2 linked regions of the Caenorhabditis elegans genome follow. The protein of the gene in region 2 interacts with the protein of the main gene of each other region in a biochemical or structural test. Each region holds a gene or a part of one and is shown on either strand. Other genes may lie near its edges. The genes, in order: rde-11 and rde-10.

What was found.
Region 1: the proteins of rde-10 (region 2) and rde-11 form a complex in vitro, tested with the Caenorhabditis elegans proteins (one study listed by BioGRID).

The regions. Positions count from the first base shown.
Region 1 is NC_003282.8:13,100,838-13,107,964, reverse strand, and holds rde-11 (RNA interference defective protein 11), read right to left. Parts: upstream 2,629-7,127; 5' UTR 2,626-2,628; coding exon 2,497-2,625; intron 2,444-2,496; coding exon 2,337-2,443; intron 2,286-2,336; coding exon 2,175-2,285; intron 2,123-2,174; coding exon 2,017-2,122; intron 1,962-2,016; coding exon 1,751-1,961; intron 1,692-1,750; coding exon 1,589-1,691; intron 1,541-1,588; coding exon 1,357-1,540; 3' UTR 1,038-1,356; downstream 1-1,037. Other genes in the region: B0564.2 (Fe2OG dioxygenase domain-containing protein), read right to left, coding at 1-24, 73-306; fask-1 (RAP domain-containing protein), read right to left, coding at 3,450-3,623, 3,672-3,758, 3,813-4,119, 4,876-5,559, 5,611-5,740, 6,337-6,583, 6,630-6,715. UniProt on the Caenorhabditis elegans protein: In complex with rde-10, required in the endogenous and exogenous siRNA pathway for biogenesis and accumulation of secondary small interfering RNA (siRNA) intermediates, such as 22G-siRNAs derived from ergo-1 targets.
Region 2 is NC_003279.8:3,545,071-3,552,197, reverse strand, and holds rde-10 (RNA interference defective protein 10), read right to left. Parts: upstream 5,128-7,127; 5' UTR 5,071-5,127; coding exon 5,033-5,070; intron 4,987-5,032; coding exon 4,849-4,986; intron 4,790-4,848; coding exon 4,714-4,789; intron 4,660-4,713; coding exon 4,585-4,659; intron 3,817-4,584; coding exon 3,333-3,816; intron 2,599-3,332; coding exon 2,175-2,598; intron 2,130-2,174; coding exon 2,019-2,129; intron 1,050-2,018; coding exon 850-1,049; intron 778-849; coding exon 597-777; intron 554-596; coding exon 419-553; intron 371-418; coding exon 349-370; 3' UTR 195-348; downstream 1-194. Other genes in the region: Y47G6A.21 (DeHydrogenases, Short chain), read left to right, coding at 36-194; Poly(U)-binding-splicing factor rnp-6, read left to right, coding at 5,304-5,399, 5,457-5,621, 5,676-5,834, 6,221-6,423. UniProt on the Caenorhabditis elegans protein: In complex with rde-11, required in the endogenous and exogenous siRNA pathway for biogenesis and accumulation of secondary small interfering RNA (siRNA) intermediates, such as 22G-siRNAs derived from ergo-1 targets.

The sequences.
Region 1 (7,127 bases), on a different chromosome or scaffold from region 2:
TTTGGTCATCAAGTATTTCAGTTCCTGAAAAACGTATGGGGTCATTTGTCAAATTTATTTAAATAAAATTACCACTGGAAAATCATCAGTTGGAATGAGAGCCGTTTTTCCCACGACTCCTCCGTAATTTTGGAGCCGCCGATTTGCGAGAACCCGCCATTTTGGTTGTGGTGCGTTCTCGATGCATGATTTGTAGAGGTTCTCCTCTTCCTCGTCAATCCAATTCGGAATATAGATCATCGTCGCTGGAGCGCTTTTGACGATGAACTTTTTGATGTTTTCAGGGAAGTTTTCAGCACGGGACATCTGAACTCGTATTTTTTTTGGTTTTGAAATATATTTAAAAATATTCTGATTTAGCAGATTTCAGAAACTTGTATTTAAAGGCGCACGGATTAGTTTGTATGGGTCTCGCCGCGAACTTTATAATGAATTTTTCAAATTTCTGTGTTTTTATCCAATTTCCCCAGATTTTATGGTATTTCAAAAAATAAAAAGGGGGCGCACCGAAAGCCAAAGTGTTTCTACAAATAGTAACAATTTTTCGTGGTGAGACCCATGTCAATAAAAAATTGCGCCTTTATGTATTACGGGAACATAAAACTCTGAGAATGCGTATTGCACAACATATTTGACGCGCAAAATATCCCGTAGCGAAAACTACAGTAACCCTTTAAATGACTACTGTAGCGCGGGTGCCGATTTACGGGCTCGATCAACGATATTCCATTTTTTTGGATTTTTTGTGACGGCTCGATTTTTGAAATGAATTTCTTTTCGAATAGTTTTTTTCGTATCATTTTCTCATTTTTCTCATAATTTTAATATTCTATCGATAAATAAATGATTTTCAATTTATTTCGAAAATCGAGATCCCGTAAATCGACACCAGCGCTACAGTAGTCATTTAAAGAATTACTGTAGTTTTCGGTACGAGATATTTTGAGCGTCAAATTTGTGGCAATTTTGTTTCTGAAAACATATAAAATATAAAACTGAGGTAAAATCTACACACTGGATGTGAAATACGAGCAATTATGAATTTCTAACCGAAACATTTATTAAAAATCAGTACCAATTGAATTGTGGCGAAGAAAAAGCAATTTTGAAATTGTGGGGAAAATACAATTATTAAAACAAGGCAATTATTGACAAAACTTGACACGTGGAGCAGTGGGTTGAAATCGGAAAATGATGGTTTTTGAGTTGGGAAAAAACTTTTTTGGGTGGTTATTTTACATGAAAAAGTATCACAAAAGTAGTCTGGTGTTGACAAAAAGGGTAAAAAGCTTCTTTGAAATTCCAAAAGTCGTATTAATTAATAAAATAATTACAGTACATGATTTATTTATAAAATTAGGCCGAGTTCATTTCCAAAGTGTGCTCTTTGTCTTGTTGGTGCCAGAAGGGCTTTTTGAGTTTACGGACACGGATCCTGCAGGGCTCGAAAGGACAATACTTGATTTTTTCTATAAGTGGTTCAAGGTGGTGTTTGTTTCGTTCGTACGCATCCTCCAGATTTTGGCACATCACATGACATCTGAATATCAATATTAATTTCTTTAAAAACGTTATAGTTTTTTCTCACCCGCATGGAATTAGAACGATTCCCATAGTACTGCTGTTTGGACTGCACAAATCGAAAGGACACGGACCTTGCCGCAGTTTGAGCTGAGTTGGTTCACTAGTTACTGAAATTTCAAGGCAATATATATATATATATATATTTGCTAAAATCTTCTTTACTAACCCGGTTTCAAGCACACGGAGCAGGGTTTATCATTCCAAGAATTCAAGCATTGCTCACAATAGACGTGTCCACACCCGAACATGACTTTCGATGTTTGGCAATTAAAGTTAATGTAGCACCCGACTCGTTGAGGTGGCTGGCCCATTTTCCGATGTTTCTTCATGAGCTGGAGTGATCCGTATGCCTTCTCAGATAGCACCATGATATTTGACTGGAAAAAAATACAAATTTTATTAATCAAGCATTTGTGGGATCTTAGATCTCACCTCTTCCACCGGGAGAATCAGGTAAAGTTTCATTGATCGTTTCGATGGTGGCATTAGTTGTCTTGGTACCATCGTCGTGTTTTTTGTAGAGATACAGTCCGTCCAGCTGAAGAAAAATGAATTTTAAACTAGACATTTTTAAATTAACAGGCGCCTACCAATACGAAAACCCATCTTCAGGATTATTGATATTTGTGAAAAAATCCAGTTTTATATAGTCGTTTTTTTGTCGAGAAAGGTCCGGCGCCCTCTGTCCATCGTCTTTTGTCCTGTAATAGACATTCTATTGTTAACACTTCCACACTTCCGCCAAAACTCACCACATAGGGAGTCCGAAATCCTGTGCAACGGATCCATCAAGATGTGCAACATTTTTCTTTTCTGTGTAGTATAGGAGCTTAAATGGCTCAGCAAGCTCGACGTTTTTCTAAATTCTTGAAATTGATATCGAAATCGAAACTATTAAAAGGCGAAAATTACCTTAAAAATCACGTAAATTGAAAAATGGATTTTTCGTCTGGCGGTCATCGTCTCGAAAATGTCATCAGCGACAATACATACGGGCTTTGGATCCACGCCATCAGCAAACGGTGGAGTGATAACATTCATGTTCTGAAATTTCTGCTGTAATTAAATTAATTTAAATTATCGAAAAATTAAAAAAAAAGAGACCTATTGGTTGATTGGAAAAAGAAATGAAGCAAGTTTTCAGGAACTAAAATGTAGAAACTAATGAATTTAATGAATTTTAGAAAGATGATCAGAGAAGAAATGATCAGGGCCGGAATGTCACTCGAAATTGGGTCACGCGCGTGAATTTTTAATTTTAGTTTTTCCCCGGTTTTTTCTTTTAGAAAGTGGACAAAACCGTTTGTAGAGACCTCCAGAGGTCAAGATCAAATTGTCACAAAAAAAAGTATAAATATAATCACGTATAATCACGCCAGGCTGTCCCATCACGGTTTGATCTACAAAAAATGCGGGAATTTTTTGCCAGAAAAAAAAGTGACGTCAGCACGTTCTTAACCATCCAAAATAAGTTGAGAACTCTGCGTCTCTTTTCCCGCATTTTTTGTAGATCAATGTAGATCAAACCGAAATGAGACACTCTGACACCACGTGATAAGATCTTAAATATAAGACTATTTAAATTTGTAATTGAAACCTGAAAATTGCCACCCAAGAGAAAAGAAAAAATAGAAGAAAAAACCAACAGGAAAGACAAATAAAATTTGATCAATAAACAATAAATTCCCGCAAAAATATTCATATTCTGTTCAAAAGACAGTTCACAGAAAATTCTAAAATTTCATCGAAACCTTTATAAATTTGTTTTATTATAATCTCAAATCTAAAAAATATTGAATAAAAATGAATAACAACAAAACAATAAAGACTAGGGGCGCTAGAAATATAATCTTTTATCAAAAAAATTAATTCTTCTTATGTATTTTATCCCGTAGCAGATTCACTTGATCAATTTCTGTGGAGCAATAGTCGAGTTCCGTTTTGAAGACGACTACTGGATCGAAGCCAGCGGAACGCATCAGTCGAAGTCCCAATTGTTCTTGCCCAACTGTATTGATTTCGCCGCTCGTTTCTGTGTTCTGAAATTTAGAATTTTATATGATTTTATGAGATTCGAAAATGCTTACCTGTTTAGTTTGCAACCATCCGTAGAAAAATAGAGGCCTGGGTTTTTTCGAGCCCCATTGTGATGTGTTCACTAGCAAGTTGGAATTCTGAAAAAAAAAACATTTTTTTTCAAAAATATTTTTTAATTGAAAATAATATACCGGATCTGGCATAACATAGGCATCGACAAAAGCTCCACAATCTTCAACATTCGGAAGTTGACAATGAGTATCTTGTGGAGCAAGTTTGAATAATGACTTTAAAAAATATCGATCGCATTCTGAATGATTGCTCGAATATTTCAGTTGCCTCGCGTTCCGAATCGTTTTCGCGTCGAAATTGATTCCAAATCGAGCAAATGTTTCCTTATTCACTGTTGGTCCTTCGTATTTTCCCTGCATATCAACTTTAGCCGCTGAACTGATCATTAGAAGAGTCATCGCTTTTCGGAGTCGATCGTGAATTTCCCTGAAAAATTGGGAAATTATTGACAATTTTTGATATTATAAATGGGGATGCAGAAAAATGCCTTTTGAAAACACTCCGCCCTTAAACCTTGGGTCTCGTTAGGTATTGACAATAAGGAAGTCAGTTTTTCAACTTTTAAAACTAAAATTGGAGAAAAAAAACCACATTTTGGCCTTTTTTTGGAAAAATTATATGTTGTTTTTTCATCATCATAAACAAAATTTGAATTTTTTGGTAAATTTTCAGCATTTTTTTCGAGTTTCTGCAAAATCGACTATTTTTAGTTTTCCCTAGCAAAAACCGAAAAAGCAAAAAAAAATTGGCATTTTTTTCGTGTTTCCCAGCATTTTAAATTTATATTGTGATTTTTAAAAATATTTTTCTTTTAACTTAAAAAATTTTTAAAAACTTTTTTTCTAATAATTTTAATGTCGAAATTGAGATAAAATTCATATCGATTTTCCGGAGTTTTCGAAAAATCTTTAGAAAATGTTTCGAAAATTAATAATAAAAATTTATTTGTTTGCTCATTTTGAAAAAAAATCAAAATCATTGTCTTCAAAAAAAAATCCTAAATTTTTAAGCAATTTTCGAAAAAATCGAATTTGTTTAGGAATGTCGCAAAACTAAATTTTTGATTTTTGAATTTTCGGAAAAATCGGAAAACCGAAAACCTAACGAGACCCAACGTTTAGTTGCGGAGTGTTTTAATTTGGAGCGCGTTTGCACCTCTTCAATTTCCAAATAATTTCTTACATTGTTGAATTCATGATTTGATCTACAAAACTCTTATTGAGCACCGAATCCGCATGAACTGCTTCAAGTTCTTGAAAATATGCAAGAGAAAAGACGATATTCAGCCAATTGTTGGGCGTCGAAGCTTTTTCCTTCACCAAAAATGGTTTGAGCGCTTTTGCCAACGGTTTTCCAGATGGTTCTCCAATTCTAGCGAGCCCGGAGACAAATTTGCTCAATCGAGCCGGATGTGCTTGCTTCACATTTTCAATTGCCCATCGAACAAGAAGATTCCATGACTTTTGATCACCCATTCTCATACGAATAAATGAATCGGCAATGCTGAGCACATCATCCCATTGAGCAAGAACATTCGAATTTTTCTCGAGGTCGTTGGAGATTTTCCGTGCAATTTTTGGTGGATAATAGGTGAGAGCAGAACATGAGCCGGTGACACTGACAATTTGTGATACTGTAAGAACTTGACTGGAACTGGAAATCGCGTTGATTATTGCTCCAAGTAGCTGTCGATTTCTTTGCTTATTCACTGCCATATGCTTCAAAAGAGCACATTTTTCAGCCATTCCCATTACTGCTACAAGTCGTTCGGCTTTTTTGAGGAACGCTTCGTTGTGAAACCATTTTGATTTTTCGTATCCATCACCGGCGAGAATTGCTAGGAGATCTGCAGGATTTGCCAGTTCTCTGGAAAATTAGATATTAAATAGAGCTTTTAAATCTAAATTATTTAATTACTTTTCGATTCTAGAAATCAATGAAGTCGCAATAGATTCGATAACATTTTGATCGATTGAAGATTTTGAATATCGAATGATCATCACAAGTGTGTCAAATGGAACAGTTTGTAGATCGGATTGACTTATTTCTGAAATTTTACGTTTTATTTGAAATATCTTTCGGAAAATGTTTAGGAAAACGCACAATACTACTGAAAATCAACTTTTTTTTTTCTAAAATTGATGAAAAGGATTCGTTCCATCTGATAAAATATTATTAATAATTTTTTTTGTTGAAAAATTTAAATAAGGCCACTAGGCCTCACCTCTACCTTTAGGTTGAGCACCGAAATCTGAGAAAAATATTTTTGAATCACTCCAAATTTTCTCCTTTCACTTGCGTCCAAATGAGATTTTTCAAACGCCGAATTTTCGCGCCAGAGACGAGCCATGTGTCGATTTACGAGAATTTTAATCTTTATCAGATGCTGATTTCTGTTTTCAACGAGTTTCCTTAATTTTCGTCGATTTTTGCCGAATTTTTTTTAAATGAAAATGTGTTTTTAAGTCAATTAAACATTATATTATCAAAAAACTAACAAAATTTCCAATTTTTCATTTTCAACAAAACTAAAAATTATTTTCAGATGGAGCGAATCTTTTTCTACATTTTTTAAAATCAATTTTAGATCAAAAAAGTAGAATTATCATATTCAAATAAGTAGTTTTGTTGGATAAATCATACTTTTTTCAAGGAACAAATTCTGAATATCCGTCGAGACTTTTCCCTTTGAATTCAGCTGCAAAACAAATCGCAATGCATCCACTGTCTCCTTCGGTCCAAAATTTTCATAGAATTTCGGCAGAACTTTCTTCGCAATATCATCAATTTTCGAAAACGCCTTATTTTGTTCCGTTGATTTCACAGTGATAGCCATTTGTGCAGCTGTGATGAATTGATCAATCGATTTTATGGGATTTTGTTCGAGCCACTTAAATAATTGAACAATTTAAATGGAGCTTAAGCTTATTGAGTACCTTGAAAAATTCCGTCGAAGTTTCTAATACAGTTCTGTTTTTCACGAGCTTCTGTGTTGGAGCAGCGGCGATGGAATGGAGGAAATCTGGAATTCAAATATTTTTTGATGTTTTTTGCATTATTCTACTTTTTTTTACTAAAAATAACCCGAAAAGCTTATTGCGAAACTTCAAAAATGTCGAAAAACACTTGATTTTAGCTAAAATCTCACATTTCGCAAAATTTTTCAAATATTTTGCCAAATTTCCCTTTTATTAAATTTTTGTCTTATTTTGGTCATTTATCACATGTTTTTTCGTAAAAATTGGTACATTTAAAGCCAAATTTGCTTAAAATTACCCTAAATTTACGAAATAACGTAAAATAAACCAAAGTAGCACAATAATCGAATTAAAATTATTTTCCGGCCGCTCTAAAGTTGGTCAAGTTGGAGATTCTAGCGGAAATTAGCTATTTTTTGAAATTTTTTTGACAATTTTAATAAAATTCTGGCCATT
Region 2 (7,127 bases):
GTGTTGGCGTAATAATACTTTCAACGAAATTCCAGTTCCTCGAGAAAAGCAAGACGACCCACGCACTCGGCCGTCCTGGAACTACATCCGAAGTAGCTGAAGCTATCCTATTCCTGTCCTCTGAGAAGAGCTCATTCACTACTGGACAACTGTTGAAGGTTGATGGTGGTCGAGGAATTATGCATCCGAGATAAAGAATATATGATTTATTGTTTTGAAAATTGAGAATGAAGTAAATTTGTACCAAGCAGACAGACAGAGTATATCATGTATAATACTATTAGTACAATTAGGATTTTAGAATGCTTATATTTAATACCATGAAATGAATGTGTGAGGGGTTTCCGTTTAGAAGTCGTCGAACTTGATTCTGAAATAATATAAAAACTATTAAAAATTTTTTATTATATACACTTACATCTTATATTTCTGTCCCGGTTTCACCGAATCCAGAATATTGAAATATTGATCCGCTTCGTTTCGATTCATGATATGACTGATTATTGGGGTTTCATAATCTTCAGATGGATCTTCGGATGGAAACGCGGAAAAACTGAAAATTAAAAAAAATTTATTTTCTTTAATTTACGACGAACCTTTTGCGTTCAGAATAAGCATTCGGACTATTTTGTGACGGGCGTGGAGCTCGCTGTGGCGACAATCGCCTTGGAGCCGGAACCACAACAGATTCTTGTTGAACATTTGGAGCAACATCTCTTGATCTTGCACTGGGATGCTCTGGCTCACGAACAGATGATGAGCTGATGAAGTGATCGTCTGAAATTAAAAATAAAAAAAAAATTAATTTTCAAACTTTCAAAATTCAGAATTTTCGAGAAAAATTCTTACTGTAAGAATAAGGAACATCAAGCTGTTCATTGTAGTTTTCCTCATCAGAATCTTCTTCGAAATCCAGTGGTTCAGATGCGAATTCGTATTGATCATGATTAGATGGACCTTCTTGATGGACGTCATATTGTTCATCGGTATCTCTCTGCCTGGCGGCGTAGACTTCGGCGTCATTACGGGATATTGTTCTTGCCAAGATTCTGGAAAAATATCTATAGACGCTCATTTAATTTTCGAAATTTCTGGGAACTGCAGAGAATGTTTTGTTTTTTCTGTGAATTTTAATTTTACTATTTTTGAAAAAAAAAACGAAAAATCGAAAAAATTTCGTAGTTCGATTTTTTGATTTTCCCTCAAAAACATCGAAAAATGGAAAAACATAAATTTTTTCGATTTTTGAAAAATCGACTTCTGGTCATTTTGGTATTTTTTCTTCTTTTTAGAATAAAATTTTATGTTTTTTCTCATCAATTTAGACCAAATTAAATTTTTAAAAAATCATAATTTATGGTTAATTTTTCTGGATTTAAAAAAAAAAGGTTTTTCGGAAAAAATTTAAAATCGAAAATTTTCTTTTTCGAAAACATTTCTTCTTTTTAGAATAAATTTTTATGTTTTTTCTCATGATTTTTTTTTTAAAAATCGAAAATCAAAAAAATTTTGATTTTTCTATTTTTGAAAAAAAAAACGAAAAATCAAAAATTTCTGTTTTCGATTTCCAATTTTTCGATTTTCCCTCAAAAATATCGAAAAATCGGAAAAATAAAAAAACGAAAATTTTAGAAAAAACCGACTTTTGGTCATTATGGTTTTTTTTCTTATTTTTAGAATACATTTTTTGTATGTTTTTTTCTCACCAATTTAGACGAAATTAGATTCAAAAAAATCATCTTTTATGGTTAATTTTCAGATTTTTTCTCCGATTTTCCGGATAATCGAAAAATCGAAAATTTTCGATTTTTTTTGAAATCGAGATATCGAAAATTTTTAGTTTTTTCGATTTGTCAAAAATTAGCTTATAATTTTTGGTATTTTCTTCTTTTTAGAATAAATTTTTATGTTTTTTTCTGATCAATTTAAACTTTTTTATGGTTAATTTTCTGAACTTATTTTTTACATTTTTGTATTTTCGGATAATCGAAAAATCGAAAATTTTCGTTTTTCCGTACGTTTGAGGCAAACTTGTGTCACTCCCGTCTTGAATGCAAATCTCATGAACTGGCGGCGAAATCACGAATCCTTGAAGCCGGTTCCCCTTTATTACAGTGAAAAAATTGTCTCTGTAAAATGTGTTTTATCTTGAAAATCACTGCAAAAAATGTTACAATAGTCTTGCATTATGAGCCTTGACGCAATTGTATTTCGTAGGCGATGGTTTATTCTCATGAAAACTGCAGAATAGGTTCAATTCAGTTCTGGGAATGAGAAAATGATATTGAAATTGATTACAAATATCAACATCTCTCCAGACACGGGGGACATCCGTCGGCGCTTTTTCGAGTATTACACTTGTAAAATCCTGAATGCTCAGAATACTAGGAATGATGACTTCTTGGAAGAATGTGATGGCATTGATTCCAGTGTAAGTGGCCAGAGTCTTGATTCCATAATATACAAAATTGAATTGAGCTCGATCGCATAGAATCGGAGATTTCGGATGCTGTTTTAAAAGGTGTTGAAGCCACTCGAAAACTTCATATGGTTCACAGCCATCGGCGGGTCCATTGGGCGAAATTCCCAGTTCGTCGGCTGAAAATTTTAAGCTACTGACCATTTATAGCATTTTTTTGGCAATTTTTCGGCAACATTCGATAAGTTTCGACAACTTTCGACACTATTGCAAAATTTTGACAATTTTTGAGAAGTTTCAAACAACTTTCCACAACTTTTCGAAAATTGTAGAAACTTTCGCCAACTTTCGGCAATTTATGACAACTTTCGGGAAATTTTACAAAGTTTTGGCAACATTCCCCAATTTCTCTTCAATTTTCAGCAAAATTTATAAATTTTGGCAATTTTTGTAAAGTTTCGCCAATTTTCGACAACTATTGCAAAATTTTGGCATTTTTTGAGGAGTTTCAAACAACTTTCCAAAATTTCTGGAAACTCTAGCCAACTTCTGCAAAGGTTTTGACAAAATTCGGTAAGTTTCGCCAATTTTCATTAATACTTTCGCTATTTTTGCAAAGTTTTAGCACCATTGTCCCATTCTCCAATTTTTAAAACAATTTTCAGCAACTTTTATAAATTTTTGCGAACTTTTTGAAAATATTCGGCAATTTTTGACAACTTTCAGTAACTTTCGTCAACTATTGCAAAATTCTGGTAATTTTAGCCAAATTTCGGCAATTTTTGTGAAGTTTTGCCAATTTTCATTTAATTTTCGGCAACTTTTGCTTATTATCGGCAATTTTTGCAAAGTTTTTGGCACCATTCTTCAATTTTTAAAACAATCTTCTGCAACTTTTCGAATTTTTTGCTACCCATTGCTTTTCTAGACAATTCCTCGTGCCCAATGTCATCTGCATCTGGATAAAACCAAGCTGCATCGAATTTGACGAATCTCGATTCATTCTGAATGATTCCATTCTTAAGATTGAATGTTGTAACGGATATCTCTGCAGGATACGATGAAAGCTTATTGATTGATGGTTTGAAGGCGTAGGCAACCGGAAATACTGAAACAATCTGCATTGTGTAGTCCTCGCAAAGCAACGGATTTCCAGGATCATCAGAACGCTGAGCAATGTATGAAGTCATTATTCGTTTCGCCTTTTTGCGATTTGCAAGACAAAACGCGTCGAGATCTTCGGTGATGTGAAGAACGTGATTTATATCTCTTGGCAACGCTATAACACTTGGAGTTTGGCTCAGTGTCTCCAAATGTGCACGTCGGAGCTGTTGGAACTCATCTGGATTTCGGTGGCGCATCTCACGGTTTCTCTGTGCTCTCTGGTGCTTTGTTTTCTGAAAAAAAAAACATAGTTTTTCTTTAAAGGTGGACTACGCTCAGTGGGGAAATTGCTTTAAAACACGCCTATGGTCCCACAATAACCGAATATCATGATTAAAAAATTCAAAAAAATTTTCTAGATTTTATATGATTTTTTGAAAATTGGAAAAATCACAGTTTTCACCTAATTATTTTTGAATTTCCGCCAATTGGATTTTTTCGGTGGAGCGTGCTTGCATTATTTTTTTTTATTAATTTTATTTATTTTCGTTATTTGACTGATTTTCTTCATTTTCTATGTTTTTTCTTCGGAAAATGAAAGAAATAAACAAGAAAATGCGAAATGTTTGTTAAAAATTAACTGAAAATGCGTAAAACTGTGATATTCTGAGTTCTGACGACGAAGAGCCTGAAATTAGAATATTTGACAGATTTAGGAAGTTTCAGTTAATTTTTAGTGATCATTCTTAATTTTTCTTGTTTATTTCTTTCATTTTCCGAAGAAAAAACATAGAAAATGAAGAAAATCAGTGAAATAACGAGAATAAATAAAATTAATTAATGAAAATAATGCAAGCACGCTCCACCGAACAAATCCAATTGGCGGAAATTCAAAAATAATTAGGTGAAAACTGTGATTTTTCCAATTTTCAAAAAATCATATAAAATCTAGAACATTTTTTTGAATTTTTTTATCATGATATTCGGTCATTGTGGGACCATAGGCGTGTTTTAAAGCAATTTCCCCACAGGGTGTAGTAAAATTTTCAATAAAAACCTACAATTACAAGCCCCCGATTTCCGTTGTGCTCGGCAACTTCTCGCTCGAATTTTTGCTTCAAATCAGGGCACATTCCCTGAAATCCGACATATTAGGCTTGAAAATAATAATTTTTCTTTATTTTTTTTACGTGATAATATCTTGTCATAATATCCTTGTCTGCCTGATCATTCTGATTGTATCGGTGGCCTTGCTCGGTCAGAAATCTAAACATCAAAATATCAAAAATCACATTTTCGCAAAATATATTCAGAAATTTTCCTACTTTTTCTGTCCTATCTGGCGTAGGAATAGCATGTAGACACTTTTCTTGCCGTCGACATGTTTTGCAACTGAAATCGGATTTCCGTTCTGGCGCACCGCATCTCCGGAGGTGCCGGCATTATTGGCTCGAATGCCCTCTCTGAAGAGATTTTTTAAAATTAATTGGGACAATATTTAAGGCAAACCTCTGATAATCTCTAAAATTAGATCTGTGATTTGACATATTCATAAAAATCAATTTTAGACGCTGGCAAAAGTCCGCAAAAGTCCTTGAAAATGTGCGCACCACTTGCAAAAATGCCGTGCCAGGGTTGCAATTATCGACTCCGCCCACTATTTCTTTTCGAATATTGAACGTGTTTTTTTCGGATTTTCAACACTTTTTTCTTATTATTTTTCGAAATTTGTGTTTTTTGTGTTTTTTAAATCATTTTTCATATTTTCAGACATTTTAAAATGGAAGAAAACTCGGCAGACATCGAAAACAGGCCGGTGGCGGCATTTCGGCCGGCAGTGTCAGTGCCAATGCCAGTTCTTCCGCAAGATGGAGAGGTAAATACTTTAGATTCGTTCAAATTAATGAAACTTTAAAACAAATTTTATTTTCAGGTGTTCGTAGGACCTGGAGGTAAGAAAGACGCTCAAAAAATTGGCCTTGGTTTATCGAAATTGAGTTCAAAGCGGAAGGATGATATTCAGATGGCGAAAAAGTATGCGATGGACATTTCAATTAAGCAGATTCTTCTTCGTCAGCAGAAACAGCAACAGGAGAATGTTAGTTTTATTTTTAAAAAGTAGAAATTATCGTAATAATCAATAAAATTTCAGCAACAACGGCAGCAAATGTACTCACAAGCTTTATCGATTATGTCCAGAATCTATGTTGGCTCAATCTCATTTGAAATCCGCGAAGATATGCTTCGCAGGGCTTTTGACCCATTTGGACCCATTAAATCTATTAATATGAGCTGGGATCCAGCTACTGGGGTGAGTTTTTAAAAAAGTCTTATTTTATTTTAAAATTCCGAAAGAATTAAGCTAATTTTATCTAAGGTCCTTTATTTTACCAGAAGTTTCCGTGTCAGAGCAGCTGGAAATTATTTTTCATTCGATTTTCATCTTTTATTGCAGATTTTGATAGTTTATCTCAATTTCTATCCAATTTTTGGTCATTTTTTGTCATCTATTGGCTTTAAATTTACTTAAATGAACAACTTAAATAAAAATATGCAATAAAAAAAATGATAATCGAATAAAAATTAATTTCCAAAAGCTGTGACACTTTTTTTTCAAATATTTGATGTTTTAAACGGAAGTTTTATTACGAATTGAGCATATTTTTAGTCTTAAATTAATAAATATTTCATTTTCAGCACCACAAAACGTTCGCATTTGTTGAATACGAAGTCCCAGAAGCCGCACTTCTTGCTCAAGAATCGATGAATGGTCAGATGCTCGGTGGACGTAATCTTAAAGTTAATTCGATGATGTTCCAGGAGATGAGATTGCCACAAAATATGCCACAGGCTCAGCCGATTATTGATATGGTTCAGAAGGATGCGAAGAAATATTTCAGGTAAAATGAGAAATTACTAGTTTAATTATTTTATTTAAAGTCATTTAAAAAATTTGGTGCTTTAAATGACAGAAAAAAGTAGAGACCGAATATAACTGGTTAAAAAAGTTTCTAAATTTTTTATTATTTTTTCAATTTTCAAAAATCAAAGAAACGTCCGAATTAAATTTGAATTCCCGCGCAAAGTTATTTTCGATATTTTGGCGTTTTCGGGCTAAAAACATCGGTTTACTTGGTTTGTCAGTTTTTCAGATTTTTCAGACACTTATCCGTGAATAAAATTCGATTACCCGAAAGTGGCGGAAATTTCAAAATTTGCCTAAAAATCGACAATTTAATAGTTATTTATAATTTTTGTTTCGGAAAAGTATTTCAAAATTTGAAAAAAAAACACAATTTAAAGGTGGACCACGCTTTAAAACACGCCTATGGTCCCACAATAACCGAATATCATGATTAAAAAATTCAAAAAAATGTTCTAGATTTTATATGATTTTTTGAAAATTGGAAAAATCACAGTTTTCACCTATTTATTTCTGAATTTCCGCCAATTGGATTTGTTCGGTGGAGCGTGCTTGCATTATTTTTATTTATTAATTTTATTTATTTTCGTTATTTGACTGATTTTCTTCATTTTCTATGTTTTTTCCTCGGAAAATGGAAGAAATAAACAAGACAAATGCAAAATGCTTGTTAAAAAGTAA